Astyanax mexicanus: one gene and its partners. The protein of the gene in region 2 interacts with the protein of the main gene of each other region in a pairwise test. Links are inferred from orthologs where the notes say so. Each region holds a gene or a part of one and is shown on either strand. Other genes may lie near its edges.

What was found.
Region 1: the proteins of lamtor5 (region 2) and tcap interact in binary tests that used the Homo sapiens proteins (3 or more experiments, as listed by UniProt). The link is inferred for Astyanax mexicanus from reciprocal best matches to the Homo sapiens genes LAMTOR5 and TCAP.
Region 3: the proteins of lamtor5 (region 2) and git1 interact in a two-hybrid assay, tested with the Homo sapiens proteins (2 studies listed by BioGRID and IntAct). The link is inferred for Astyanax mexicanus from reciprocal best matches to the Homo sapiens genes LAMTOR5 and GIT1.

The regions. Positions count from the first base shown.
Region 1 is NC_064426.1:36,178,777-36,188,876, reverse strand, and holds tcap (telethonin), read left to right. Parts: upstream 1-5,739; 5' UTR 5,740-5,938; coding exon 5,939-6,087; intron 6,088-7,397; coding exon 7,398-7,788; 3' UTR 7,789-8,539; downstream 8,540-10,100. UniProt on the Homo sapiens protein: Muscle assembly regulating factor. Mediates the antiparallel assembly of titin (TTN) molecules at the sarcomeric Z-disk.
Region 2 is NC_064419.1:41,212,548-41,223,634, reverse strand, and holds lamtor5 (ragulator complex protein LAMTOR5), read right to left. Parts: upstream 6,081-11,087; 5' UTR 5,957-6,080; coding exon 5,922-5,956; intron 4,576-5,921; coding exon 4,514-4,575; intron 4,311-4,513; coding exon 4,193-4,310; intron 2,610-4,192; coding exon 2,549-2,609; 3' UTR 2,291-2,548; downstream 1-2,290. UniProt on the Homo sapiens protein: As part of the Ragulator complex it is involved in amino acid sensing and activation of mTORC1, a signaling complex promoting cell growth in response to growth factors, energy levels, and amino acids.
Region 3 is NC_064425.1:19,366,890-19,377,976, forward strand, and holds the start of git1 (ARF GTPase-activating protein GIT1), read left to right. Parts: upstream 1-4,222; 5' UTR 4,223-4,706; coding exon 4,707-4,758; intron 4,759-8,657; coding exon 8,658-8,791; intron 8,792-9,863; coding exon 9,864-9,976; intron 9,977-10,966; coding exon 10,967-11,072; intron 11,073-11,087. UniProt on the Homo sapiens protein: GTPase-activating protein for ADP ribosylation factor family members, including ARF1.

The DNA of each region.
Region 1 (10,100 bases), on a different chromosome or scaffold from region 2:
GATTATTAATGATTTTTAAGGCATTTACAAAAAGGTAGTCTTATTTTAAAGTGGTAACAATAATTGTATGAAAAATAATTGCATGGTGGCACCAGACACACATAACAGGCTTGGGTTCCTGGTTTTGACTTGGCCATTCCAGAACTTATTTTATTTCTTTTGAGCCACTTATTGGTGTCTTTCCTGAAATGTTTTGGGTCATTGTCATTTTGCACGGCCCATCTCCACTTGAGCTTATTTTTTTCCTCCTGCACCTTCTTGAGAATGCCCTCACCTATATAAGTTCTGTTATTTTGTAAGACTGAACACTGGTCAGCATGCTCATGGCAACAAAACATTAATTATCAGAGTCTGAGTCTGAGTGAGGTCTAACAGTGGGTGACAGATGGATGAGACATTCCATTTCTGAAGTTGTGCAGGAATTTAACATTCCTCCATCCACAGTATCAAGTGTATAACAGTGCAAACAGACAAGCAACACTGGCATAATTCACATCCACATTCAGTGCAGGAGGCCCCAAATACATATCCTAAAGGTCAGTGCAACGTTCTTTAGCTTCCATAGAACACAACAAAAAATGTCTATGTGTTTGACCCTTGTACGATCTTAACATTATGTTTACTCCCTTTGTCCTACGGGTCAAAAATGACCGGCCCTACTGAAGCCACAAAATTAAGCAGCCTTATTTAATTTTAAATCCAAAATCTATTTTGCATGATTAAACAACCTGTTATTTATCAATTCAATTCAATTTAATTAATTATTTATTATGTATTTTTTGCTACACAAAATAAAACGACAGTATTACATTTTTTTTTACCACAAACCAGCTGTCATAACAGTTTTATTTTACACAGTAAAAGTTTATTATTGTCATTATGTAATTCTGAATTAATTATATTGAAAGAGAAAAAAAAAACTCTCTGATGGCTGTCAGTTTGTCCATCACACGCCTTGCTGGTCTTGACTCACGGTTGTCAAAATCTTAGGATTCTTGAGAACGTGTGAACGATTTTCAGCGGCATTGTGGCATTAAAATTTGCCCATCCACTCTCTGCATCCCAGAGACTATACAATATAGACCATTTAAAAATGATGAGTTTCTTTCATTTTACCAAATCGAAAACCTCTGGAATATAATCAAGAGGAAGATGGATGATCATAAACCATCAAACCAAACTGAACTGCTTGAATTTTTGCACCAGGATTAAAGGCATAAAGCTATCCAAAAGCAGTGTGTAAGACTGGTGGAGGAGATTTTTTTATACACCTGCTAATATCAAAAGCTATATGTAGTCCTGGTCCTGGTCCTGGAGTCATTCTTATGATGTTTGATGCTCTGTGTATTAGAGAGCGAGTGTTTGACCTTTATACTTTTTTCTGGTGTTAAAAATGCTTTAATAACTCATGGGTCAAAAATGATCTATAAGACAACCATTGTACCCTAGTGGTGTACAGCCCACTTGGAAACATAAACATTTTTACTCTTTCTAATGATGGGGTGCCTTTAGGAAAAGTCATAAAATTTGAAGTTGGAAAAAGATAGTTTAAGGTTTTTTTTTTTTCTACAGCTAAACACGGTAGTGGGTCACTTTTGACCCGCAAGACAACACAAATTTATTAAACAAAATTATTAAATTATTATTATTTTTTAAATACAAACGTTTAATGAGTATCCAATCAACAAAGTAGGTGTAAAGATGTTCAGCACTTCCTGTAAATGGTGATGGTGGGCTGTAAGTGAACACCATCAGTTGTACTACAAGTACAACTCAATGACTTGAGGGTACATCCTGCTTGCGTAACTCATGCCTGGCATTCCTTCTCCATACCACACGGAGTGCTGAGTCGTCTGAATGAGCAGTAGTGACATCAATTCCTGTATTTGACCTGTGTGTCAGGGTGAAGGTTGCAGTACGGTACGTGTGTGTGTGTGTGTGTGTGTGTGTGAAAGCTGAGAAACAAGCCCTCCTCCCTCCCCATCATCCATCTATCAGCAGTGCAGTAAATCATACCATGACTAGACTAGTGACTAGTGTCACATAGGCCCACGCTTAGTCTCTCTCTATAGATACACTATGACTGCTTTACTTTATATCCACTGTACGTACGCTGTAAAAAATGTCAACCTGGGAAGAAGTTGATTTTAAGTGTTTTTAAGCTTTGAATTGATGGAAAAAATAAAAAGATTGAAGTATAATTATTTAACTTATAGTACTTTAACAATCATATATATATATATAACTAAATAATACTTTATTCTCTTTTTTCAACTTCATTTCAAACATCCTTTTAACATCAAGTTATTACAACTAAAGGGGAAGTTGACTTAACTTTTTTAGCTTTGTTATACTGTAAGACCAGATAAGTTGAGTTTACTTTTTTAAGTTTGCTCAAATTTGTTAAGGTATAGGAAATAAAAACTTAAGTGAGCATAAATTAAAGATCAAGTTTTTTTACAACTAAAAGGGAAGTTGATTTATTTCTAAGGTAGTCCAGGGGGAATCACTACACACTGATGGTGAGTGTTAGTCAGAAACTGTTGGACACGCCCAGTATGCAAATAGATTGTGACTGAAGCCAATGGAAAAGTAGCTGTTAATGGCAACAGACTAAACTCAGTTATTATAAATTGGTTCAAGTCAAAGATAAAGATTATATGTGCTCACAAATGTTCATCTAACTCAAAATAGTTGAGTATTGTTTAGAAATATCCAATTTTATGTAAAACAGACTTAAATCATTTGAGTTCTAACAACGTATGGGTTTACAGTGTAATGTTTGTAGAAGCGGTCTGCATACCTGGGTGCTTGGTTTTATACACATGTGGCAATGGAAGGGATTGGAACCTATATTTAATAAGGTTCCATTTGGATGGGTAAGGGAATACTTTCAGCAATAATCTGTTAAAATATCATGAAAGAACTTAGAAAGAATCTCTGCTCTGTGCTCTTGTGCCTGTGCTGTAAATCAGCTTCTTTTAAGCCCTAGCAAATGCTGCAACTGACCAAATTAGCAAGGGTAATTTTATAGGCTTAAGCATTTGCTCTGGAAATTAGCTGATGAACCGTGTTAAGCCCCCTTAATTCTCTCATGTGTCCTGTATTTTCCAGAGTGAAGATTCCACATGTTTTTTTGTTTTTTTCTCTTAGTTCAAAAGTGCAGGAGCTCTGAGAATGGCGAATAGAATCATATCTGCTCTTCAGTGACAAAAGCACAACAGACCGAGGTCTAAAATAGTTTCCACGCCGGCTATCTCTGAGCCTATCTGACTTTCCACATTAGTGAAGTCTGTCTCTGAAGCTCCAGTGCAGCCATTAGAGCTGTTAAAGAGCCTGGGCAGAGTGGGGATTATGGCGAAGGTTGCGTTTCTTCCACAGTGATGACAACAGTGGTGAAAGAGCATATAGTGTAAGAATAGTGGTGTTTACTGTATGGGTGCATGTCTGCATGTCTGAGCTCCACAACATAATGTGCATTCACCATTATTGTGATACTGTGATGATGTAAATGCTTCGATCACAAGGAGCTTCAAGATGTCAGTGACTGCAAAGCAGACAAACCAAGTCTCCCTGAAGCTGCGGGAGTCTCCCACATTTCGCTAGTGGCTCCCTGATGCCCGCGAGTCACATATAATCTCCCGGAAGTTAAATTAAGTGATTTCTTTTCGTGTCACACTGAAGACACATTTATATTTACATCCTGCTTTGTAAATATGGGGCGTGGTCAGTCAGCGGTGGATGTGGGCACGCACGGTTCATTTACAGTGTGTTCGTGGAGCGGTGTGGGTGTGGCCTGACTGTTATGGAACGCCTTTTGGGTCTTTATGTCTGTGAGAGACTGCACTGTGAGTGTTGTGGGCGGGGCTCACAGCAGCCCCCTGCTGCTCGCTGCGGACAGTGACTGAAGAGCATGTGTTCATCTCAGAGTCGCCAAAAATCTCCAATAACACCACAAAAACTCGCTAGATTTGTCGCTAGTCGCTTTTTTACAAAAAAAAAAGTTGCTAGAGGGTCTGAAAGGTCGCTAAATATAGCGACAAAGTCGCTTAGTTGGCAACACTGTATCCTGTCTCCTCCTCTTTTGCTCACCTGTTCATTTGTAGCTCCGCCCCTTAGTCCCAGGTGCTTCCTGTTTCGTTGGTCAATACTTGAAAAAACTAAAAGGGTAGCATTGGCATGTTCAGTGTGTCCACACACACCTAATACACCGTGGTTTTAAAAGTTGTAATTCAGAAAAGTTCAGTACAGTGAGAGATAAAGAATAAATAGTGATAAAAATCTACTTACAGCTGAGAGAGAGAGAGATAGAGAGAAGTAGAAGGGAGGGAAGGGGGGACAAACAAGACTACAGTTATCTAAGAAATACTGCTGTACTACTGTGACTCCTGTGCTGGGATGATTTGACAGGAAATGGTCAATACTTTTGCATTTGTTTGAGACCTGTTCCATCGATATGTTTGCATTTGCATGTAAGAGAGATGTTACTTGATATCAATTTGAAATTCAAAAGTAAAAAAATCAGGTGTAATTAAGGATTCAGAAAGAGACGTTTGTGGTTCCAGAAATAATCATTAATGTAAAAGAGATGTTGGCATTAATAACCTTTTAGTATATCTGTTTAAGGTCAGATCATTAAGTTCAAGGTTCTATTCCAATTAAAAGGTTTTTTCACATTTGCATACATCTCTATTTCCAAAAGTAATTATTTTATGGCATTGATCATACAGCTATTTGTATAATTACCTTTGATTTGAAGAGTGTAGGAACAGGAACAGTGTGGTTAACTTATAAAAAAATACAGGTTATCTATTGCTTATTCATTGTTTTATCATTTAATAATCAACTCTACCTGCCTCAATGTTTAAAGCAGAGGTGGAAAAAGTACTGGAAAATTGTAATTAAGTAAAAGTACCTTTACTTTGCTAAAATTCTACTCAAGTAAAAGTAAAAGTACCCATCTAAAAACCTACTCGAGTAAAAGTAAAAAGTACTCAATGTAAAATGTACTTTGAGTAAAAGTTACATAGTTACTTTTATTTATTTGGTGTAAAAAAGTACACCAAACAAATCATAAATTAAATAATTATTAAATTAGATAATTTGGACCTTTCAGGCAGTATTTGTTCAGACCACCCTAACAAACATTTTAAAGAACAAGTGGCATAGATTTCTATGATCCATTTTTTTTTCTTTACTGTTAAAAGTTAAAAAGGAAACGTTCAGCTGCGCTACCATGGAGAACAAAACTCACTTTTTTTTTATTCAGACAATTATTTTTTTGTCCCCCAGCATTTATTTTTTTGCTTAATAACAGGGAGTTTTCCAATGTAGTGAAGTAAACTACTTGTGTCAAAATGTACTTGAGTAAAAGTAAAATTACCTATTTTTACCTATATTTATAAAATCTACTCAATTACAGTAATGTGAGTAAATGTGGTTTAAAGTATTGAAAGTGAAACATTATGGACTGATGGACTGACTAGCTGCATAACAGAGCACTGGATTGAACATTCCCCAAGTTCTAATAACGCATGTGTGTGCATGTGTGTGTGTTGTAGGGATCATTTCCAGGCATCGGGGGATTTCTAAACCTCCCCTGCGCTGTTCCAGCACACGGCGGCCAACATGAGTGTATGCGAGTACGGGAGGGAATATCAGGTGTCGGTGCAGACAGGCTGTGGAGTGAGGGCATCGTGTGGAAATAGCATCAGAGACGGTATAAAAGGCAGATACACACACTCGCTCAGTCAGACAGCATACACACACTGCTCAGGGGGCAAGCAGTTGAAGAACCAGGTGAAGAACAAATTGAGATCTATCTTCTTAGCAGAAGAAGAACAGAACCAGTGAAGATCCTCTTTAAGAGACGATCATTGTAGATCCTCTACAATTACAGTTAACCCTTAAGTAACAAGACAAGACACAGAAGCTGAAGATGCAGGTTTGCACAGTCCTGGAGAAGCGTGGCGGCTGCGTGGTGGGAGCCGAGCTGAGCTGCAGTGTGAGGGAGGAGAACGCTGCCAAGAGAGAGAGCTACACCGCTGACTGGCACAGCATCAACATGAAAACACAGCACGAGGATCGGTAAGTTCATATACTTACACTTAACTTACATTTAATTTTATTTGTGTGGGAACAGTCTTTCCTTAATTTTATAACTTAGGAATGTCTTTCTCAGGTTCTTCTTAAAGTTATCCTAGACTCCTGACTTTCTGATATATTTGACCCAAAAAGTCTTTTGGTCTTTAGTCCTGCTCCTGAAGAACTACCTTCAACCCAACTGTGGATCAAAACCACCCTATCCAACCAACCTCTGCCATCAAATTTCCTTTATTGGCTAAAAGAAACCTGATTGATTTGGGCTGGAATTGAAACCTGCTGGAAGGTAGTCCTTTAGAAGCTAAAGAGACTTCTCTTTGAGGACTACAAAGACAAAGACCAGTGGTTTTCAATCCTGCTCTTGGAGAACTTCCTTCCTATAAACGTTGTATCCAACTGTTCCCTTTAGATTCAGTCCTTAATTGATTAAATGATGTATTATAGTTTTGGATTTTGGATCCAATCCTAATCCACCCTACCAACTAACTTATGCCTTCAGATGTCTTTAATTGGCTGAATTTGGTGTGTGCTAAAGTCCCTAAAAACTTTGCATCCAACCCTACCTTATCCGTCTAGCCAATCAAAGACATCTGAACACAGTAGTTACTTGGATAGGGTAGAACGTGCTATAAGGTTGGATCCAAAGTTTGCAGGAATGTACCTCTCCAGCAGGTCATCAAATCTGTCACTGAGACCTTAAAAAGATATGAAGCAGTGAACTCCATCCCTTCTCCTGAAGAACTACCTCCCTGCAGAATGGGATTCTTCTGGCTTGGGTGGATCATGTTGAGTTGCATCCAAAGTTTGCAGGAATGTACCTCTCCAGAAGGTCACAATACCAGTCTATGACAATGTGAACTAGTAGTCCTCAACCTTCCTGCAGACTTTGGTTCCAACCCAAATTGATCCACCTGAGCACAATTTACCATATCCACTTTGCAAATACCTTCAGATGTCTTTGATTGGCTAAATAGGGTGTAAAAGATTTGGGTTGGAAATTTGACCCAAACATGAAACGATTTCCCTGGATTGGACCCAGATTTCCTTCTCTCTAAACAGCAAGTGGTTAAGATTAGTAACTGAATTATAAGCCTAAAATAGACCCCCTTAATGGACTTGCATGTCAGCCCACATGTTAGCCCCTTACCCTCATAAATACTGCCTGGAAATTAGAGTAGCAAGTAATTAATACTTATGCATCTGCAATAAACCTTAACAGCTTGTTAACAACCCACCCTGGACCTTTAAAGGGGTTAACCACTTCTCTCCTGCGCCTTCTTCTCTCTTCTCTCTAGCCAATCCATGGCAATGTCCGACGATTCACGACGGGAGACCATGTCTCGTTACTGGCAAGCTCGCCCCCTCACCCAGTCCTGTCCATCGGGAGTGCGAAGAGTGGGAACTCTGGAGTCTGGCGTTCGGGAGCACCAGCTGCTTCCCAAAAGAAACACCCTCCCCCTGCCAGTCTTCAAACCAGTGGACCTTGGCATCCGACTGGGTCGCGGCACTCCACACACCCCCGAGGACTTCATCCCTGCCCGCACACCCAACGGAGAGTGCCCAAACAAGAGGGACATCCAGGAGATCACCAGAGACCTGCCACCCGTCAAACCAACCCACATGGAGTTCGCCAAATCGGCCAGAACCCTGGGCAGGTCCATGTCTCAGGAGGCCCAGAGGGGGTGAAGAGAAAGAGAGCAAGAGGGGACGGAGGGGAAGCTGAGTCGAAGAATGTTTGGACTTTGTTGAACTGTGGAAGGGCACTGAGAAAAGGGGGCTAACCTTGCAGATATAGGTAGAAAATGTACACAATAGACGTTTTAAAGCCTTCTTTGTTACTGCCCTCGCCCTGCTTGAGAAACTGCAGAGACTGATGTTGCTGATGACGATGCAAGAGGTTTGTAAAGAAGATATGAGCTGTAAATAGTATCTGATTAATTAAATAGACCTGTATAATTAAAGTAAAGCAAGTTAAACTTTAGAGGAAGGAGTTGAGCATGTTTTCGGCTGGAAACCATTGGCACAAATCGTACAAAACTAGACAGAAGAAATGAAGCAGACAGAGCAAGTTCTGGACTTGAAGGTTGGCAGGCAAGATCCTTTGAGGTACTGATGCCTACTTGGAGGAAATCAGTCAGAAATCAAGAAGGAAAGATACAGAAGAAAACAGAGGGACAGAAGCAGAGACAGTCAGGTTTATGTGTATTTTGTAAGCAGTCCTGCAGTTTATGCAATGAAAAAAGCAACAATAAGCATGTTTACAATGTTTAGGTAAATATATTTTATTTTGTTACGACTTATAAATGAATGAAATTGCACTATTTGTCAACTGTTGCTTCACATGCAGTTGTTTTTTCCTCATAGATCACAGTGGTCTTTTTTCTTGTTTGTAAGATGTCCAATGTATTGTTTCAATAAATAAATGACATAAAAAAAAATGATTGCTTCGAGCCTCATTAATGTGTTTTAATACAGCATAATACAAAAAAAAAAACGTAATAAAAACTTTTAGTGGTTCAAATGAAACTAGACAGTTCAGTCCCAGCAGAAGCAGCTGTTGCTGTGATACAGGTGTTGGTTGGTTGGTTAATTGTTGATATGGTATTGTTGTTAGTTACTATGTTGTAGGTGTTGGTTGCTAATGTGTTGCTAAGTGGTTTCTAAGGTGTGCGGGATGTTTTTCTAAAGTTGTGGTGTTGCACAAGTAGTGGATTTTTTAAAAATACTGCTGATGGTGCAAAAGCTATCCTCTCCTGGTGCCACGTGTGCGGTTGCGTGATTGGTTAATTTTGTAATATGACTGCTTCAACTTATCACGCTACCTCCCCTTTACCTCAGTATCTGCCTAAAAAAGCCACACTGTGATAGGACTGGAGTTTAGATTGAGGGTACTGACAGCATGGTGGTAAATGTTCATCTCTTTCTGGTCTGCATGGATAAAATCTTTAAGGTTGGCTCCATGTTTGGAAGAGTTCCTGCACAGTGAAGTGCTATGCATCCCAAAATGCTGTTCCTCACCTCTAAAGTTGCTGACGTTGCAATGGACATATTTTATCAGCTTGATCTATCTCAGCTTGGGAAGAAATGTATGATTAATCAATATATGCAATTACAAAAGCATAAAACTTAAAACTTGCCCACTTGGCATCAATATGACAATATGACAAGTTGCAGGCTGTGTAAAACTGTGTAAAAAGACAATGGTTGAAATAAGACGATGAAGAAGAACACTTAAGGAGAACAATGGCAGAACCTTCTGCCATCACACTAATGATAAAAAAAATTATATGATTCAAGGATTTGGCAACGCACAACAACAAATATGAGTCACTAAAGAGTTTAACAAACAATAGAAACGGGGTCATTTAGATTTTCTCAGCTGTTCTATGGAGGGATTATCTCTGCCGGGAGAAACAGGTGCTTTAGCCCTGAAATAGTACAAACACTCACTGTACCAACCGAATTATCATATATCATAGCATACCACATTACCTTCTGGAACAATGGTCAACTGGTCCAACTTTCAAGCACTGGGGGCTCACCAGCTCAGTGACATTAGAGGCTTAGTATGGAAAACAAGATGGGAGGAGTAGAGATGAAGGCAGGAATGGAATGAGGGAAGAGTGGAGACCAGGACTGACTGTCCTTTGGCATCTTTCCCATTCATTTATGCCAGCTAGCTGGTCAACATGGCAGACGTTCAAAGGCACTTTTATTAGAGATACATCAAACAAAATGTACCTGGCAACAGAAATGCAGACTCCAGGTTCTTGGCATGAAAACAGCTCAGTTGAAGATAGGCGGAGAAACTTCTGAGAAAGAACATATTGATATTTTATACTGTATTAATAAGACACTATGTCTGGGGTGTTTTAGGGCATTTTTACACTTTCTTTTAGTCTGGTTAAGGCAGAGGTTTATTTTTACAATTGAAACGGTTTGTTTGAGCAGGTGTAAACACACTATTCACACTTAGGTTTGCATGTGTTGTGCACTCT
Region 2 (11,087 bases):
AAATACATATAAAATACATTAGCCTGTAATCTTGATTATTTCATTGTCTTAATTGAAAATTAGATAAAAAAATCCCATACAAACTTTAACCACGGAAATCAGTGCACCAATCAATACCCTAATTTTCACCACCCAAAGCTTATAATGAGTGTGTGTCCTTGATTGAAGATTTGTGCAATGGAAAAGTCACCTTCCTTCACGGTCAATTAATTTTTACCACCACAGAGGTCAGTTTAAACCTCTCGATTCCAGTTAAAGGTTATACAAATCTCTCGCTCCAATGGACTTCCTGTGCATTCATCAGAAACGGAGTGAATACAGTTCGAATGAATCTAAACAAATGAAACCATTACCACCCTGTTTACTGGAATATAATCAAGAGGAAGATGGATGATCACAAGCCATTAAACCAAGCTGAACTGCTTGAATTTTTGCACCAGGAGTGACATAAGGTTATCCAAAAGCAGTGTGTAAGACTGGTGGAGGAGAACATGCCAAGATGCATGAAAACTGTGATTAAAAATCTGGGTTATTCCACCAAATATTGATTTCTGAATTCTTAAATCTTTATGAATATGAACTTGTTTTCTTTGTATTATTTGAGTTCTGAAAACTCTTTTTGTTATTTTAGCCATTTCTCAAATACATGCTCTAAATTACAATATTTTTATTTGGAATTTGAGAGAAATGTTGACCGTAGTTTATAGATGAAAATAACAATGTTCAATTTACTCAAACATATATCTATAAAAAGCAAAATCAGAGAAACTGATTCAGAAACTGTTCTTTATTTTTTCCAGGGCTGTGGTATGATAAAATCTATAACATAATTATTGTAATAAGCCTATTAAGAACTAACAACCAAATTTCTGAAATATGAATCCAGTAAACAGTGTAAACTGTACTGTAACCCTGGGCCTCTCTGTACATTCCTGAATAACCGTATTGGGGCACTTTGTTCAGGCATGTCATTTCCAGCGCATTGCTGGGATAGTTAAAATGACTTACCCATCCCAGCAGTGACTGCTGCCACCATGTGAGAAAACAGTGCTACTCCAACTATAGCCAACTTTTTATATTTGGCACTGCTTTTATATACAGAACTAATAATAATTTATTGTTACATGACTATTCATATCAATTCAGAAGTGGTCAGATCGGATTTGCCTGTCTGGACGTCACAAAGCTATCTGTGTGGGTTGCTGTAGTAATTATGGAAGTGTTAGTCGCCATGCTGATGGTATGGCTTTTATACGTTGAAGCAAAAGAAGAAGACTGAGGAGCATCATCTCACCCTTCAAACAGACACCCAGTAAAATCACGATCACTCTGGATTTAATGAGGTCATATTTGGTAGCATTGCAATTGGCACAAAAGATACCATGAAATCCAGACTGACTGAGAGTGAATTTCAAACCACCTCTAAATTGTGATTTGGATCAGATTTGCCAAATCTGAATCAGTATCAAAATTCAATCTTTAAACAATCTATTTCCAAATCATCTCTACAGATTTGAATAAATGCCATCTCTGCTGTTACTTTGTATTTAAGTGTACAGAAATATGCACTAATCCAGAAAACAGGACCTTCTTACTGTATTTACCTTCTAGCCCCAATCAGGTCTGACCAAAAAAAAAGAGAGAATATTCTCACATGGTTTGCTGTGATTCATTTTGATAGGCTCAAATTTTTCCCAGTGTGAAAACAAACCAAACAATCCAAGTTTACAAACTCGTTAATTAATTCACACCAGAGCAAACCTGCTGTACACTTTTTAAAATGAGTACTGTAAGATTTTGTGGGGAAACACTGCACAAATTCTGCATTTTATTTGGAAATCAAGGGATCAGAGTCTGGAGGAAGAGTGGAGAGACACACAGTCCAAACTGCTTGAGGTCTAGTGTGAAGCTTCAACCAATCAGTGATGGTTTGGAGAGACATGCCATCTGCTGGTGTTGATCCACTGTGTTTTATTATCAAGTCTAAAGTCAGTGCAGTTTTGTTTTCCCACAAAATCTTACAGCACTTCATGCTTTCCCACTGCTGACAACTTTTATGGAGATGCGGATTTCATTTTCCAGCAGGAGTTGGCACACTGCCCACACTGCCAAAAGTCTTATATAATATTCTAATTTTCTGAGACACTGATTTTTGGGTTTTTCCACTGGCTCTAAGCCATACTCATTAACAATGTGCAAAACTATTCACTGAGTAGGCAGATATATCTAAATACACTGTTTTCATGACAACACAAAAGAAGAAGTTAAATATATTGTGCTAAACTACACGTTTTTTTTATATAATTTATTTAATGGCAAAAAAAATATTAAATAGGAATAACAGTTCATCATTATCAGAAACATTCAAAACAGGGACATAATATGAGCATACAAAATGAGTACTTATAGTTTTCTTAATTTCTCTGAAACCCATTAAATGTTAAAAGCATTGCAAAACCTGTATCACATAGCAGCTAAGAGTTATCGGAAGGACAGACAGAGATCATGAGTTACTGTTCAGTGGGAGCAACTCAAACACTACAAGACTTCAGGACACGATCTTGTGCACAGCGACAGTGATGGTTCCGTGTGTTCTCACCAGGACATTCCTGCAACAATAAAAGGGTACGACTTTAAAACTAAGTAAACAACAAGTACTGAAACAAGATACATGTTTTTAAATACAATGTTGTCTATAGAGCAACCAGACAGTGAACAGAAGCTTTAAATGGCCCCATTCTTACTTATGTCTTGAATTTTACTTTGAACTGCCACGTCATGGGACAGGAACTAGTGTAGCGTCTCATGAAAGCTAAAGAACTTTGCCCTGATCTATAGGATTTTGTTTGTGTGGCGGGTCTTCTGTATTGCATGTAGATGTGATTTCTGCCAGAGTCACTTACTCGTCTGTTCACACAGACAACTCTAGCCAGATGCCGCAGGTCATGATCATTACCACCAGCGGCCATCCATCTGCACCCACTATCAGACCTCACTCCAACTCCTGCCTGCATTGGTTTGGTGCATGTCGTTTTTTTTAATTTATTGTTTGACTTGTTCGACAGAGCTTAATCCCCACTGGGTTGATACCCCCCTCACACACCTGTGACGCTGTTTCTATTTATTCTAAAAATATAAACATACAATAAAAAATCTCTCTGTAACCAAATAATGCACACTATTAATGATAGTGATAATCTTCTCTCTAAATTCTTTGTAAAACTGTTTCTTTGTTTTAAAAACTGCAAACAAGAAGCTTGGTTTATCAGAATTACAGTTATTAATATTTTTTTTGTTGTTATAAAAGGGGAAAATGCAGACCTAAATTAATATATATTTATATTAATAAATACTACCATTTAAATATTAGATAGGCCAGGTAGATTTAAAAAATAAATATTTAATTTCCTCTTATATATATATATATATATATATATATATATATATATATATATAAGCTGTTATTCCAGCTGATATTCATGCAGTTTAATGTTATAATATTAGAGGAAGTTGTACTTTTATTCTTTCTAAGAGCCACATCACAAGATCTGCTGTAGTTCTGCTGCAGGTGGAGACTCTTCGACTTGACTTCCTCCACCTCCAAACCCTAGTTGTCTAGTGTCTCTCTAGTGTCTTGCTATGAGCACACTGAATAGTGTACACCCTAACTTACTAGATAACACCTCACAGCTTAAACAAGCCCTCCCCTGATGAATTTCTTTTAAACCAATTTACATATTGCTGTCCCATTAGTTTTAGCAGTTCAGTGTAATTTTCTATTGCTCCTAAAATCTTGTTATGAAATTAGTGGAAATTTATGCACACAGTAATGGTGTACTGAATCAGGTAGGGAGTTAAGAGGACTTAAAATATTAACAGTGTTTATGCACTGAACAAACTGTTTTATTGAATTGTTTATGTCGTTCATAACGTTCAATAAAACATGCAAAGGTTTTGGCATCTGCAGGAACATCCACAAGCTTTAGTGTGTCTCTATTCTGGTACTCTATGGTAGATCTGAGGAATGTTTTGGATTACTATCCTGTTACAAACGTCATCCAGTCATTTCAGTTCATAACAGGCTTTTAACAGACTGTTTGTTATCAGCATGCTATCTGTTGGTGTACCTAAAGAACTGGCATAGTCATGTTAAAGTAATACACTGTATAAGTGAGAATATGAGTTCTCTTACCCAGAGTCAGACTCGAGGCACACGGTGGGAGAGTCTGTAGGGTCTTTAGTAAGAGAGGCAGCCTGTTTCGCCAGGACAGATACAACCCCACCGTGCTCATCAGACAGGGTGCCGCGGCCTGCAGAAACACCACACAACTAGTCAAAAACATACTGTTTTTCTTTTTATTTTATTTATTTATTTTAACACAAAACTGTCAAAATAATTGCAAAACACTGAAACAGATATCAAGTTGGCTTTTTTGACAATCCAGGACTAAGCTGATTAATAATATTTCTACTGTATTTATTTGTATTATACTAAATGATAACCAATACTTACATCCGAGATTATGACCCTGGGCATCTGTACACAAAACCCCAACGATTGAAGGACTTTTCATTCTGACGAAATAAATAAACAGATAACAGACATTCATAACAGGCATTTATAACAGTGGGAAAATGTACTAAACAACAAGAATCAAATAACAACACCAATCAGCCATAACCCCATCAACTCCATTATGCATGGTACCGATAGGATCATGTTTATCTGTTCCAAAGATTCAATTCTTCTCTACAGAGATTAAACAAGGAGTGTGCTTTTTTTAAATAAGATTTTAGTATACTATATATACAACCTATATATGTGTGGAGCTTGCCTGCTTTTGCAGTCTGTAATTTAGCATGGTAAGTTATTTGATTGATAATTGTTTCTGAATTATACAGTATTCCTACTGAGAAAAACATGAGAGCCAAGAAATGAACTACAGTGCTTACTACCTTACGTAAGGTACCACTTTGGGACGATTTGAGTACCACAGTTTAAGAACAGCTGGTGTATGTAAACTTCTACAAATTGGCTACTTGTTTTTTTTTAAGGAAAGGGGGAAAAAAATTACATTTTGAAAAATATACACGTATATCACAGTACTGAAGAAGCACAATCAAACAACGTGTACTTGTACTCAAATTATTCTGAAATTATAGATAAAGTAGATAGAGTTAAGCATACGCAGAAAAATATATTATTTAATTACTTTACACATATACCAAGCATCCCATGATATGGGATTATTATTTGATTTATTTTTAAAAAGAGTGACAACAAGCACTAGCTAGATAAATAATTTGCTGACTGTATAGAAGGCATATGTCATATCAGTATGCCTAACCTTAGGGGTTAAATGATAAAAAATTAGAGGTTAAATGATCAAATTAGGGGTTAAATTATAAAAAAAGGGTTAAAGATACACTCCCAGACCATAAACACACCCAGTCAGACTCAGGTAAGGCTAGTCGCAGTAAAGAATGTAGGGATTCCATTAGGAATTAAATTGTAAAATTAGGGATTAAGGGTAAAATTATGGGTTAAATTATAAAATTAGGGGTTAAACGATAAAATTAGGTGTTAAATGATACAATTATGGGTTAAATGATAAAAATTATGGGTTAAATGATAAAATTAGGGGTTAAATGGTAAAATTAGGGGTTCAATGATAAAAATAGGGGTTTAATGGTAAAATTAGGGCTTAAATGGTAAAATTAGGGGTTCAATGATAAAAATAGGGGTTTAATGGTAAAATTAGGGGTTAAATGGGTTATAAGATACGCTCCCAGACCATTAACACAAGAAGTCAGAGTTGGGTAAGGCCAGTTAAGCTAAGTTAGTTAAGGGTAACTGTATAAACAGCGCGGGTCCGCTCAGCGCTGTATAAAAGCCGCTGCTGAATAATAATGGAGCTCACGTGTCGTCCAGGTGCTGCTCCAGCGTTGCCTCCATAACTATAATAATAAATATTGCAGATTGCAATATTAAAGAGAATCAGAGGGGAATTGAGCCGCTAACAGGCTAACTACTGTTGTACACTGTATACACCCTAATCAGCTGACCCTGTGTGCACGTGATCAGTCTGCTACGGAAAGCTGTGAGGATCAAACACGCGCACCGGAGCGCTGCGTGTAATGGAGTGGCGCCATCTAGCGCTACTTTAACAGCAGTGAATCTAAAACAAGCATAATATATAATTTTATAAAAAGATATACAATAAAAATAAGATAAGACCCTCAATCATTAAACAATAATAAAGTATATATGTACTTTATTATATATAATAATAAAGTAAATATGTTTAATTATTATTATTATTATTATTATTATTATTATTATTATTATTATTATTATTATTATTATTATTATTATTATTATTATTATTATAGCATTCTTATATTTTCCCATCAATGGAACATAATTCATGTCTGAATAGGTTAAGTTGTTAATGCTCAGCTGTATATTGAAAAGAAAAAAACGGTTGCCTTAAAATCGTTAAGTAATGGGGAATGAAAACTTAAGTTAGCATAACTTAGAACATCAAGTTATTACAACTAAAGGGGAAGTTGATTTAACTTTTTTATTTCTTTTATACTCTAAGACCAGATAAGTTGAGTTTACTTAACGTTTTTAAGGCAGCCGGTTTGCTCATTTTTTTTTAATAATGGGGAATGAAAACTTGAGTTAGCATAAATTTAAATATCAAGTCATTACAACTAAAGGAGAACTTGATTTATTTCTAAGGTAGCCCAGGGGGAATCACTACACACTGATGGTGAGTGTCAGTCAGAAACTGTTGGACACACCCAGTATGCAAATAGATTGTAACAGAAGCCAATGGAAAAGAAGCTGTTAATGGCGACAGACTAAACTCAGTTATTATAAGTTGGTTCATCTCAGTTTGAATGTTGTATATTTGTGCCTACAAATGTTCAACTAACTCAAAATAGTTGAGTATTGTTTAGAAATATCCAATTTTATGTAAAACAGACTTAAATCATTTGAGTTCAAACAACGTATGGGTTTACAGTGCAGAGATAAAGATAAAAATAAAGTTGATTGATTGATTGGCTAGTTGCCACCCTTCACTAATGTCATTTGATCTGACAAGATAATGACCTATCTCTGTTATTTTGCATCATCCCTTTGTGAGATTAATTTCTGGGTTCAGTATGTACAGCCTCAATATTACAGAATATTAACAGCTTCTCCAGAGCTCTGAAAACAAGCAGACCACCAGCATGTTCCCCTTTTCACCCTGCAAGCAGCTTTTGACTCTCAGCTCACATTTAGCCGCTATTGTTGGTGGGGTCTCCGGGGGCCGGGGGTGTTCAGTGTGAATGTGGATATCAGATGAACCCTCGTCTCTGACTAAAGCTCCAAGAAAAGAGCAATTCTTTCCTCCACTCACTCTTAAAAGGGTATGTGTTATCATCAAAAATCACTGCTGATTTGTCCCTCCTGTGACAATGACACGGCAAAACTTTGTCTTTTATGTTTGCTGACATTTTTTTTCTACCAAGAATTGATTCTAACAATGGAGACAGCTCAGCTCAGGCTGAAAAGACATGAATGGATTTCCTCTTTGTGAACCCTAAAGGAGTTTCTTATCAATCTCTTTCTTATTCTTTTATTCTGAAAAGACCCCCGCTGTGGATTTGAGCTTCCTGACTGCTTGTTCAGTAGATGTTCCAGGGGGTCATAATCTATATTATGGGCAGTATAGTTGTTTAAATTTCATATAAACTCTGTATAACAATACATTTTTCAAGATTTATGAATGAACACATTAGTACAAATACAGAGGAATGTTAATCTTGCCATATGTGTGTCTGCAGTGTCATCTGGATTTTTTTTAAGTGCTTAAATAACACAATATAACACAATTTGTTAATTACTTTTTATTAATTTCTAACTTTCTATAAATGTTGTGTCTATTAGACTATTTAAACATTCTGATAACACACAATAGTACATTCGTAAAGCATTATAAACATGGCTTTAAATATTTATATATTAAAAAATCATATACAGCCATGTTTATTATGCATTATACCACAGTTAGTTCCGACCCTACAATGTGATTGGCTGAGAGGCGTTCTATGAGTGCCGCTATCAGCCGGTAATGCACTGTAACCAAAGCTCTCCATGTATTAATATGCCACATACAGTACAGGTAACCTAGCAACAATGCAGCGCTTCTCGTCTTCTTTAATCTTTCAATAAACTGTGATAATGAAACTGTGGTATAATCGCAATTTTTTTCATATTAAAGTTATTTTATTACATGTTATATCACTCCCTCTCATGTATTATTGCTTAATTATGAACTGAGATCATAATGCATCATAACCTGTAATAAGCTTGTAGTATGTTATGCATCGGGGTTAAAATGTTACATTTCTCTTGCTATTAATACAGCATATTCAGTATATCCCCTTTTTGGACATTTTTCACTTTACTTAAAGTGTACAACGACACATTATAACACATTATAAAGTAATATAAGTTAATATGAGTGGTTAAAAGTGGTTAATTATAGCATGCTTTGTTAAAGGAGCTATGTTTCGGTTCTGGGTATTGACATATAACATCTTATAAGCACAGCTGATGATGCATCATAATCACAATTCATAATGCATAATAAACATGGCTGTAAAGTGTTATACATTTCTATAAATATTTATAGTCCACTTTATAATGCTTTATGAATGCATACTATTGTACTTTGAGTATATAGAGACTAATATGGTTAATTAAACTCAAAATGTCAAGTTATTTTATCCAAATTGTAAGTTACTGAAACAAAGGGGTCTATTTATACACATGGATGGGGACAGGAAACACCTTGGGGTGAGTAACAAGGGGGCGGAGCTACACATGAACAGATGAGCATAGAGAACAGACCAAAGGTGAAACAAAACAGAACAAGAATATATCAAAAGTCATTTTGTAAAAGTTATGGAGGACAAAAATGTAGTATTGTGATAAAAACTTCAGTATATTTAGTCCTGTTATACACTGAGCTCTGCTCGGCTAAAGTAGCCGGAGGGATTAACGCAAGGCCAGGTTTTATGTCGTCCGTTTCCGATCAATAAGAAATGCCGCTTCTCATTTCACAAGCTTCCTGTTTCCTCTCGTTACTTGCAGGCTAGTGAGCCAGGAGTCAATCGCATTTGAATCGAGTTTATTTATGAACTCAATATTTATGCAAATAGGAAATGTGAGTAGAGAATGTAACTACTCTCTCTATTTCCAGGCACCAAAATCAAATCAGTTCGAGCAGAGAATGCTGTTCTCTGAACATCTTCTGCAGAGCCCTGTCCCGATACATCCAACTCTTTATATTCTATTCATGATGAATATGTTTAATAAACATAATTATATGTCGTGTGTAATAAGGCTTTAATTCGCCATGAGTCACAATCAGACCAATCCCGTTATCCTCACTGAAGAGCTCTGCGTGTGAGACTGTGTTTTTTAAGCAGCCGTAGGCAGATCTGAGCTCCACACACACTGTGTGTGTAAAGTGTAGATGAAAAACATATGATCAGTTGCTAGGATTGCTAACTGCTAAAATATTAGCATCTACCAAAAACAGAATTTAAGAACACATGAAGACATGGTCAGTAGTGAACAACCTTTTGCATGATGTCATCAGCTCTTACACACAGACCACCAATACACCACTAACACAACCATAATGGCAACTATTCCATACATCCAGCACCTCTACCTGAATGTTACTATACACACACATACACACCAATTGGGCACAGATTCCATCTCTTTCTCTATCCCTTTTCTCTGTTTTCTCTCCCGCCTATATATATTGTACCTGTTCTGCTCTCTTGTTCTCCTGCCTTCTTTTGCTTGTTATTTTGCTTATATTACTATCTCTCTAATGTAATTGTTTATTAAAGCTAATAAAGCTTAATTTGTCCTCCAAAGAGGGGGGTGGGGGCGGACCTAAATAAATAAATAAATAAATAAATAGATAAATAAATAAATATTGCTATATGTTTATAGATAGTTGATTTGAACCTGTTTACTTTACTTAAACAATTTGAGGAAACTGGTTAGTTTTTATGTTCTTAATTAGATTCGAAATGTCAAGTTATTATGCCTAAATTGTAAGTTCATTTGATGTATGCTTTATTTCTTGTATTAATTGCTTTTCATGATCGGTTTTACAGCCTACAGCATTGAGAGCAGATAGTTGCTAATAATATATTGTATAATCTACAAGTTTACCTACGGAGGAGGCCATGGGGAAATGACTACACACTGAGGGTGAGATGTGGACCGCAAGCATGAAACATATGGCCCGTGAGGTTGTCTGAACTGTAATGAACGATAATGAAAAAAAAATAAATAAATAAAATGCTTCTCTGGCGAGCTTTTGTTTACATTCCTCCCCTGTCTCTCTCTCTGTCGTGCACGGCTTGACTTTAGTTTCCGCCTGTTTCCGCTCCCTATGTCCTTATCACATTTTTTTTCCTAGCTGTGTCCCAATTCACTAGCTGGGACAGCAGTAGTGTATTGGACCGTGACCGAGATGACTTGGGTTCAAACTCGCGTGAGGAGCGGTGTGTTTATTTATTTATTTATTGTGTTTACCTACTTTGAGATGAGCTGTTCTGCAATTGGGTTTAACAACCCTCTGGGCTGGAGAGCTACTAGTAGCACCCCATCCTATTAAACTTCATATTATCCCCCATATACTAACCCCAACATCCCCCCCCCCCTCCGCTTGTGGCCCGCCACATAATGGCTTGGAAAATATCTGTCCCGTGGCCAAACTTAATGGCCGACCCCAAAACAGAGGGATGAGGTTAGTGGTAGGGCCAAGGGGTGAATTGCGATTGGGCCTAAGAGAATCTAATGAGCCTGTAAAACTTTTGAGTACTGTAATAGAAAGTGTAACTGCTCATCTCGATCCTTTAGAGGGTGACTGAAGACCCAGTCAGAGCCTTCATCACAAGTTCACTCATACGACTAAAATAGTGGAACAAATTCCACTGAACTTTATACAAGTGGCCACTTCTCTTTTGCCACACTGCCACACTCAGTGTTTTATATT
Region 3 (11,087 bases), on a different chromosome or scaffold from region 2:
TAATAAGTTCTCAAATTGACTTGGGGTGAAGTGAAACATGATAATGAGTACAAACTTTTGCCAAATAGCCCATCTCCTTTCACCCCCAGCACTCTAAAATAAAGCACTTTTAGCCAATGCTCCAACAGGCTCAAAATAGCTAGCGATAGTGGCATAACGTTGCTCATGCAAAAAAAAAAAAAACACTATCTTACCTATCCAGCTGATGATGAAAAAAAAAACCCTAAAGACCTATCCAGATAGGATTATTTTCTCAGGGGGTCCTGGGGTAATTTTCTCTTTTTTTGGGGGTCCTCTGCGATTTTAGGACCATGAAGGACCATGAGGTTTTTTGGCTTTCTCGTTCACATGACATTGCGTTCAGTAGCTCCTCCATTTCCACTCACAGTCGTGTTTACATGGTTCTGGCTGAATTACCTTACATTTTTTTGCTGATCAACGTGATCCTCTGGTAATTTTAGTCCTGTCCGGATGCACATCTCTGAGTTTCGTCACCTCGCATTTAATAAAATAGCTATTTATCCACTTCTACTCACTGTAATTACACTTTGTGCGCACGGTTTCACAGAGAACCATGTTAACACAACAGCAAGTGGAAACGCAGGAGCTACTTAACGCGATGTCATGTGAACGAGAAAGCCAAAAAACTCACTCGTCCTCCTGTGGTGGTCCCAGAAGTTTTGAGTAGAAGTGTGAAATATTTTTCATAGACATCCACCTAAAAAACTAATCCTGTCCGGACAGGGCTTAAAACAACCTTTATTTAATAAGTTCTCAAATTGACTTGGGGTGAAGTGAAACATGATAATGAGTACAAACTTTTGCCAAATAGCCCATCTCCTTTCACCCCCAGCACTCTAAAATAAAGCACTTTTAGCCAATGCTCCAACAGGCTCAAAATAGCTAGCGATAGTGGCATAACGTTGCTCATGCAAAAAAAAAAAACACTATCTTACCTATCCAGCTATGCTTTTCAGTCAATTTATTGTGACTTTATTTCAAGATAGCAGTGCCCGGAGAACTACCTGAATGTACTGTGTGTATAAACTGTGTCTTTTTTAATAAACCACCTGCTCACTTTAGCAAAAAATCAAAAGCAGTAAAAAGGAGACAGAGACAGAATACACAAAATTACAGTCCAAACGACAGATTTCAACTTCAACTTCCAACTTTCAAAATTCACTTTCAATTTGCAGACTTAATTGAAACAACTGCCAATACTTCACTTTTAAATAGCATTCACAACACTGTGATAAATACATATTCTCAGGGGTCCATTTTTTTATAATATGAAACCTGGATGGACAAATAACAGCATAGGTTCATTAGCTTTTTAATGTCACTCTCCATGACCTAAACATAATACAGAATACCTTTGGAAGGGAAGGCGGTTAAAGGAAAATCAATACAGACCCATGTGCTATGTGAAGGGAGTTGTGATGCTGTCAAGAAAATCAGACAAAGCATCCTTAATATGAAAAAAATCCTTACTGGCTCTTGAAGATTGCAGAATGACATGAAAAGAAAGATGCTGAGTCAATTCCCCAGTGCATAAGTGATTCCCAGTAACTAGGGATAGCCTAAAACTACTAGACTGCCAGGAGAGTAGATTAAAACAAAGAAATGGTCTGTTGAAAAGTGGTGAGGTGGATTTTTTGATCCCACCTAAGCCTTTGGGCTGCTCATCTAAACCCTTAATGAAGAGAGGGGTTTAATGTGCTGATATGGGTGTCACCAGCTCTGTCACAGTAAAGTGTAGAATATGTGACCTGAGGTTGAGTCAGTCATCCTCAAAATCCAGCTCTGTTTCTAGATGTTCCTCTAAACATTGGTGTCTGCAGCTGACCTCCTTGCTTGTCTTAATTGCAGCAGCTATTCCCCTGAACCTTTTCCAGTGGATGATTGATCAGACACTTGACCAGGCAACACTTAATTTGAGCAATACCTGACCGAGAATGACCCAGACCTTTGTAGAATTGGATGGATAAAATGGATAACACAGCATTTCAAATTAAACTCCATCTCCTTTTTTAGGTGCTCAGTGATGAAGAAAATGTATTTCTGAGACCAACAAACAGATACAAATCCTCATTGACCTAATTTTTTCACTCATTTAACATTTTGTAGACCTTATGGTCAATTTTATTGTTTCACATAAAGTCACTATTTGAAGCACTTTTTTTTTCTTTTCAGGTGAAATTCCCTACCAGATTAATGCATCACTCAACTTCATCTTCACATTTAAGGAGGCTGTGTCTAAAACTGGAACTAGTTGACTTGATGCCTTGCTGTCCATGCCATCTCAGAATGGACCATTGAGATAAAGATTTCTGTAACTGAGGCAACAAAATGTGCAGAAATTCCCATGGTATCAACAGCTCACTGCTAGATAGGTTTTTTAAATGGATTTTTATTTTTCATATCTTTTATGCTAAATAACATAGGATGTTTGTAGATACTAGTACAATTAATGTACAAAAAGAACACTAATATTGGATATTTTACAATTGTTTGCATGTTCAGTAACATTGGTAAGCCTTTATTGAATTGAATTGAATTGAATGTGGATGTCCAACAATGGCCCACTATTCTCTTGTTGTCTTTTATAGTGAGTTTTTGAGGACTATTATCTAATAATAGTTTTTGAGGACTATTTTTTACACTGAAACAATCAGTTTATGGCAAAAACCTTCTTTGAGTGCAAATTAAGACCATTTCAGTGTTTCAGCTGACTATTGTTTAGGTTCCTATTACCACTATTGTTTGTGACTTCATTTCTTCAGAATTAAGCATTTTGTATTAAACCACTCTGAATCAGGTGGTGGTCTTTGCAGTAGGCAAATGTAGACAGCTGTTTATAGCCCCCATAACCAAAGAACATCATGAAATACAAATGGAATATATGTGTAACGTTAACCCTGAAGATAAATGTGGAGTAGGCGATTTTGTAACAAAAAAAAAGAGTAGGTGTAAGGTTGTTGTTTTAGGGGAGAAAAATCCACTCCATACTTTTAGCAATCCTTTTAAAAACACTTTTTCAGAACATATAAATGCCTGACTAGTCACGACAGAATGTTGAAGAGAGGCAGAAGCTTATTTTACAGTCCTGTGGCCTTCACAGATAATGTTTTTTTATTGTTAGAGCATTGAATTCATTGATAGCTCAAGTGATATAAAGAGTATTTTAAGAAATATTATTCAATATTCTTCTATTATTGTAGAGATTCTGCAGCCTCATCCTATATCATGTACAAATTGGATTATTCCAGGTTTTCATCTAATGCCTTAAACACATATAAGCAGATATACAAGTAAGCTATCAGCTATCAGGCAGTGTTAGATTTTGAAGAAGGGGATCTTTTAATTGATTTTCTGTATACTAAGCAGGAGAGATAGAAAGCTGTTTGCACTGACATTTACATGGATGGCTTTTTTATTATTACCCCTTATTGATTTTAGACCCTTATAAACTATTCTAAGATCATTACATTAGTTATTATAAGTTCTTTAAATTGATATATTACATTATTTTTATTTAACTCCTATGTAAAACAAAGACCAGTTAGATGTTCAATCTAGATAGCTATAAGTTATATACAATGACATGCCAAAATCATTCATGTAGACTGGTTCATTTCATGTAGATGTGAGTTCTAGCCAATCGCAACCTATCACAGTCATTACCACCTCATTACCATTTCGCTCTGCATTGCGGGTGGTCCCATCCTACACATTTGTTTACAACCCCAGATGATCTCAGTCTTGACCTGATTATCTCTAAATACAGTCCATATTGACTAAAGGAGGATGGGCCCCCTTATTTTTTTTCTTCTAAGGTTTCTTCCTCCAGCTTTAAGGGAGTTTTTACTTGTCACTGTCGTCTTGCTCACTGGGGGATTTTGACAATTTCAAGGTAAAATTTATTTTACATTGAAAAGATAGAATTAGAATGTAAAACTTTCAAAACTATTTCATTTTTTGTCATTCAGTACAGTGAAGAATAATGGATTGTCATCCAATTTTCCATCTAGAATTTTAGGAAAAATTAAAAAGGGAATATTCTCTTGATTTTCTGATTTTTCTAGTAACCTATGGGCTATAGGCTTTATATTAGTCATGTTTAAACCCATAAACAGTAGCCTGAAGCCCACCGTATCTGTACAGTATGTGTGTGCTGCCTCCTTGCTACCCCACCATGTGCTGACACTAGGGGCGAGAGAGTAGGACGTCAGAGGGAGACGGTATGCAGCCTGCCACAGCCTACAAATGTGTGTGGGGTGCAGGATGTAAATAAAACGTTGTTTCCGTGTCTTTTCCCTCCGCTTGCCTCTGGATATGGGGCTTGGATAGAACAGGCTAATACCTACATAAATGTGGGATAGAGGAAAATCCCCAAATTATATTCTATACAGCCTATGAGAGTGATTTAACTCTCATTCAAACGGGAAAAGGGAGTGTTTGTGTGGTTTTAACGAAGCGTAAACTCCTTGCTGTGGGAGCAGAGGGAGGACACGGAGGAAAAAAAGACGTGAGCGAGAAGAAGGGTGAGGACCGGGAGCCCTGGAAAGCTCTTCGCCGGCTTCCGGACATTCAGGGGCGGCATCAAGGCTGCAGTCGTCGCTAAACTGGAGCGTCGAACATCCCCGATACTGGATTGGAATATTTAAATTATCTCGTAAAGCCTCGCCGTATATTTGGCGTTTATCATGTCCAGAAAAGTCCAAAGGAGCGAGGTGTGTGCCGACTGCAGTGCGCCAGGTAGGTTGAAATGCATGGATCAAGGCGTTGTTGGGATCTAGCTAGCGCTAGTTAACATTGTGTCTAGTGGGCTGAAGCGAGCTGGCGCTGAGCGGAGAGACACAGAGCACGGCTGCTGGGCCAACAAACAAACGGAGAAACGGCCTGCAAACCTCGGCCAGAAAGTGACCAGGGCCTTAACATATATTAACATGAAGAGTCCATCATATTCACCAACATTAGACCGTATATAAGGCGGCTGCAGTTGTGTTTAACTATTTCAGAAAACTCTGTAGCTGTTAGTTAGCCGGCTGACTGGTTAAACGGGGTTAGCTACAGGCTAATGTAATGGCGAGTTTTATATATCGGGCTCTGCTTGTTGTTAGCATCCGCGCTAGCCACGTAACATTAGCATTAACATTATTTATCCTTTCACCTGTCTAATAAATTAGCTACTATATAGTCTATATAACATGTAAGCTACTCGTTATGAACACACATTGCGTAGTCTTCTAGCTAACCTGCTAATCCAGTCAAAAGCGTAACTATTCAGAATGCTAAGGTTAACAAGCTAGCTAGTTGGCTAATTTTAGCTAGCTAGCATACCTCTGTTGCGTATCCCGACTCAATTAGTTATATAGCGTTAGATTATAAATGTCAAAGCGGGACATTTATCAGAAATGCCTGGCCTATAACTGCACAATAACGGTGGCGAAAAATAACTAAGTACCTAGATAAATAGTTAGCTCAGCTAGGTAAGTTGGCTAAGGCTAGCTGCTGTAGACGATCTACATCGTAACCTAGCTAGCTAGCATTAGCTATCGTAGCTAGTAGCGTTAGTAATACTGAAACTAGACAGTTAACGCTAACGCTAGCTAGCTGTCATTGACACTGTCTTTAACCGGAGTTTACATCCTGGTCGTTACATCCATTAAATATGATTCTAAAGTTAATTATGCATGATATAATTTGTTGTTGAAAACGTCATATAATTTAAGAAACATTTGCTTATTCTGTCACATCATAGACAGTTAGCTGGATAGCTAACCTTAGCACAAAACTTTACTATAGGTTAGCTACCATTAACTAGGTTAGCTACCGTAACTTAAATTAATTCTTAAGTAAACTTGAGAAAAATGTCACGTTTCGGTAGTTTATTGTCTGCCACATTCACTTATAATGGCATGTATACTATAACAATTGATAAACAGTATATTAATTGCTGAAATTGAATGTACCATGGCTTGTTATGGCTTCAGTATCCTGTTATCATTTTTTTTTGGAACAAGACTTTTGCAAAATCAGCTCATTTTTAGGTGAAAAGACCATAATGGCACATCTGGTTTACCAATCTTTTAGTAGAATATTATTTATCAGTCTGACTCTAATGCCAATTAAAATTCTTTCTTATTTAAGTAAAAAAATACACACTTAAATCACAATGGAATAAAAACAAGAGAAATGTCTTTAAACACATTCGCAAATGAGTTTTTACTATATGTCTTCACTTTACAAAATTACAAGCTGTTCACACTACATACCAGTGCAAATAACTAATTTCTCCAACCCTGTCTATTGGAAGCAGTGTTTCTATATTTCTTATATTTCTATATCTCTTTTGTTTTCACTATGTAAAACCATATTTTATTAAGCTGTCATCCCATTGTCTTTTGATATAACATCTCTTAATGACAGTCAGGTTATTGAAGATCAGTGGAGCCTTGGCCTTGCTTATGAAGCTCCCATCTGCCCCATAGGGAAGAGGGGGCAGAATGGCAGCTGCTGTCATACCCCACAGCTGCTCTCTTTCCAGGAATGTCCCTCTGTCTTTCTGTCCCCACTCTCATCTGATCACCTTCTCTCTGCACCATCCCATCTACTGATTTGTAGCTCCTGAGCTTCTACCTGCAGTCTGCCTCTAGCATGATGCAGTTACCAGCATACATTGTCAGCACTAAGGACAACAACATTGACTCTCCCGCACCAGTGCTGAGTTTTAGCTGGTGTCTTGGGCACTTGATTGACTCTGTTACTGCTCTGTCATTACTGCCCCATATTACTGCAGCTCCCTGGCTGCTGCTGAGGAGCGTGTAATAGTCACGTTTGACATGCCAGAGGAATGCATATAATGGTGTGGTGTAAAGTGGGGCTGAGTGCGTCAGCTGGTGAGGAGCTGATAATTGTTGTACTGCAGTGTGAATGTGAAAGGGTGGATGTAAAGCAACGTGTTGTGCAGTGTAACTGTTTGTTTGGTTTTGTTTTGTTAAGTGGGAAGAAAATTGTTTATGTGGCTATAGAACACAATATTGTGTTGCAATATTTGCACTTTAACAATGCGGAAGTGTGTGAGCACGTATATGAAATAATGTTAAGCAAGATTAAGGCTAAAGATCGAATTGTAGTCTCTCATAAGGCAGGTTTCAGTTTGACCTAACCCTGTATTTTCTCTCTCACTGCCCCAAACTTTGGGTTAGAGGAATAGTTCTCTGAAACATGTAAGTCAATGTATAGAAATTGTGGAATCTGTTTATGGAAATTAGATTTTGACCGTAATGTGTAATGTTAGCGAAGCATCTCCTCTGTTGTAAATTAAAGAAACAAACATCAGATACTTAACATGTCATGGCTGATTGACTACATCCTGGATGAGTGATAAATTACATTAAACAGGGCCTATAAATACTGTTCCTGTCAGCAGCCACTTGACGAATCCCCTGTTTCATGAGATCAGCTGTTTGTCATGCTTTCATGTGAACTTGCACAGGGATTAGTCATAGCCTAAGTATGTAATATTGGGTTGTCAGAAAAAAATAACAACTTATGTAATAAATCAAGTTAACTGTCCCTGCAATTGCTACTTAAATCTGAATCTAAAATCTAAGCAGAAGAGTAGAAGCAGAAGAGTAAAGTTTTGATTCAAGTGAAGTTTTGGTTTCATCTTTGCCATCATCACAAAGAGCTCCAGTTGCTGACAGCTAGGCTTTTCCCTGAGAATGCCTTCAGGCTCACTGTAAAAAAAAAAGTCTCATTATTAGGCCACACACACTTCTTTGGCTTGTGTTCTTTAATCCCTTTAACTTTGCATTTAAAAATGTTATTTTCTTTTAAATTACTCTGGTTGTTTGGGGCAATTTCTTAAAAAAATGTATTTAAATAAGAAGTGGTTGCTAGATGTATCTTTAAAAACGAAACAAAGAAATCTCACATTTTTCACAATGTACAGGGTAACAATGCAAACTAATTTACACTGATTTTTTTTTCTTGTGGGATTACTAGTATAGTTGCTTATCCTAGTAGGTATAGTTGAGGTGCATTTATTTTTCTTGTAAAGAAACATGGTCACACTCTAGATTTCTCATACGTATTTTGTTCTTTTTTTGTTACCTTTTTTGTTTTTCTGCTGTTCTAGTAATTATGCATTTATGCATATTTAGTTCACTGTTGTCCTTACACAGGGTATTTGCCAGGAGTGAAGGTTTGTATTATGTTGGTATAATTTTAGTGAAGTTCTAGAGGCCAGTAAAAGCCGGCAGCATGTTTCTGTCATTCTGTACTTGGTCATTTTACTTTTTACGTTAGAGTAACCTTCACCCTGACTGCACTGCTCTCCTGGCAGCTTTTGCCTCATGTGCCACCTCAGAGACCCAGATTTGTGGGGATGTGCTCATCTGGGAACAGTGTGTTGCCTCAGATAACCTGATAGGAATATAAAACCCTTTTGCTACAGTGGTGAAACCTATTTCAGAAAAGGATTTGTAAAACTGTGAACGCTTTGCTTGTAGCTGGAAACAGGAAAAAGAATAAATACGCTGTCCGTTTTATAATTCAATCATGACAGGCACTCCAGGCCTTCTTGAGGACCGTTTTGATGGATGTGTTTTTTAAAGGGATTCTCAGTGAGTTTTATGCTGTGTTGGCAGATCCGGGATGGAGCAGTATAAACAGGGGCGTGCTGATCTGTGATGAGTGCTGTTCTGTGCATCGAAGCTTGGGACGCCACATCTCCATCGTCAAGCATCTGCGCCACAGCGGCTGGCCCCCTTCTTTACTACAGGTACTTGGCACATACATTGATCAAATATATCACCTTCATTTCTACACCTATTATTCATTTTTATCTATATCTAGCTCCACTGTTCGTACTGGACACATTGTAGTTCTGCAATTACAGGCTGTAGTCCTTCTCTGCATACTTTAATCCTCTTTTTGCCCTATTCTTTAATGGTCAGGATGCCACCGGACCCCCACAGAGCAGGTATTATTTGGGTGTTGGGTCATTTTCACCATTGCTGTAATACAGGCGCAGTGATGGTTTGTTAGTGTGTGTGTTGTTTTGGTTGGCGTGAATCAGGCACAGCAGTGCTCCTGCAGTTTTTAAATACCATCCACGCACCGTCCGCCCAGCTAGCTGCTCCAACATGTAGGTGATAAGTCAAGAGACGGAAGACCGTCTGTCGCTGCGCTCATTCATCAGTGCAGGACGCTGCCCGGAGGTCACTGTAGGTGGACTATTCTCAGTGCAGTAGTGATGCTGAAGTGTTTTTTTTTTTAACTCCAGCAGCACTTCTGTGTCTTTACTAATGCTAGCACTAGGGCTGCAACTAATGATTATTTTGGTAGTCGACTAACCTGATGATTTTTTTTTTATTAGTCAATGATTGTTTCTGCCATGTTCTCTATCTCTAAACACAATGAAAAAAGCTGGACATGAGATTTGAAAGGCAATGTCTAGATGTTGTTTTTAACGTGTAAAATACTGATATTGGACATTATCGATTATATCGACTAATCGGTGCAGCCCCAGCCAGCACAACACACACTAACACACCACCACCCAAATAACATATGCTCTGTGATGGTCCTGTGGCATCCTGTCCATAGAAAAACAGGGTAAAAGGATGATAATAAAATATGCAAAGAAACAGACGGACTACAGTCTGTAATTATAGAAGTACAAACTGCTCCCATTTACTCAATGGATAATGGGTGAAGAAATATAATGTTCTAGTTAATCAGTGTTTATTCTACACTGAAATAATAACATTATAATAATAATTGAAATAACAGGGTCTTTCTCTGTGTAGGCGTGACTCAATACATGGTTTTAATGTTGCTTTGTGTTTCAGATGGTCCAGACTCTAGCCAGTAATGGTGCTAACTCCATTTGGGAGCACTCCCTACTGGACCCTGCGCAGGTTCAGAGTGGTCGCAGGAAACCTAATCCACAAGATAAAGTGCAGTAAGTATAATGTGTAGAGATTAATGTCTTTTCATTGTGACACATGCTGTTAAAAAAAATCTGTACAGCCTTGGGTGGATTTTCATCATATTGGACAGAGCAATATAGCTCTCCCATCACAAGCAAAATGCTGGTTGGTAACTTTAAATATTGCAAAGTGCTATTTGTTAACTTAATTATTACACTCTTGAAGAGCAGAATGTTAAGGTTAAGTTTAATTATTGGAGTTCTAAAATATTAAGTTCAATTCTACATTTAAGTTTTATTTAGAAAATTCTTAATCTCTGAGATGCAACAAAAACAGCCCCAGCAGTCTCACAGAGTTCCCCAACAACTCCCCAGAACACCAGAACAATAAGTAAAGTCACTTTGCTGGCCCAGATAAAGTCCTTATGAGCATTGCTAAAATGTCCTGTTCAGCCTGAGAGTCTCGGAGCCACAAAGTACAATCAGTCCCTCAGCTTGCTGTAAAGGGATTCCACCTGTTACATAGAGACATATCCAGCCTAGAAAATGTCCTGTCCTCAATGTGAATTAACTCCAACAGCCACCCTTTGAAACATCCACACAAGAGCTGTTAGAAAGCATCCAAATGATGATGTAAAGCTGCTACAGGATCAGGCCTTGGAAACGTCCAAGTCCTTGTTTAGAGAAACCCTTGCAGTGGGGCAGAGTAACTTCCTAGCCACGCTGTAGACTCATTCCAGCAGCAGGCTGTAGAAATATCCAAGATATGAATTTGACTCCCATACCTCTATGAAACCCATATTAAAGCTTTTGGTAGTTTACAGTTTATGTCAGAAATATAAGCAAGAGCAGTCTATCCTATATGGACTGACATCAAGGAATTGTCAACATGATGTTAGCATAGACATTATCAATTTCAGTTTCAGATGAATAATTTTATGTATTTCACTTGTTTGTTGAGAGTGCAATCAGCTATTGCTGGATTTTTATGGGTTTAGTTACATTTTTGGCCTCTTTTTACAGCCCCACCAAGTCTGAGTTTATTCGTGCAAAGTATCAGATGCTTGCCTTCGTTCACAAGCTGCCCTGCCGTGATGATGATGGGGTCACCACCAAGGACCTCAGCAAGGTGAGGAAGCTCAGA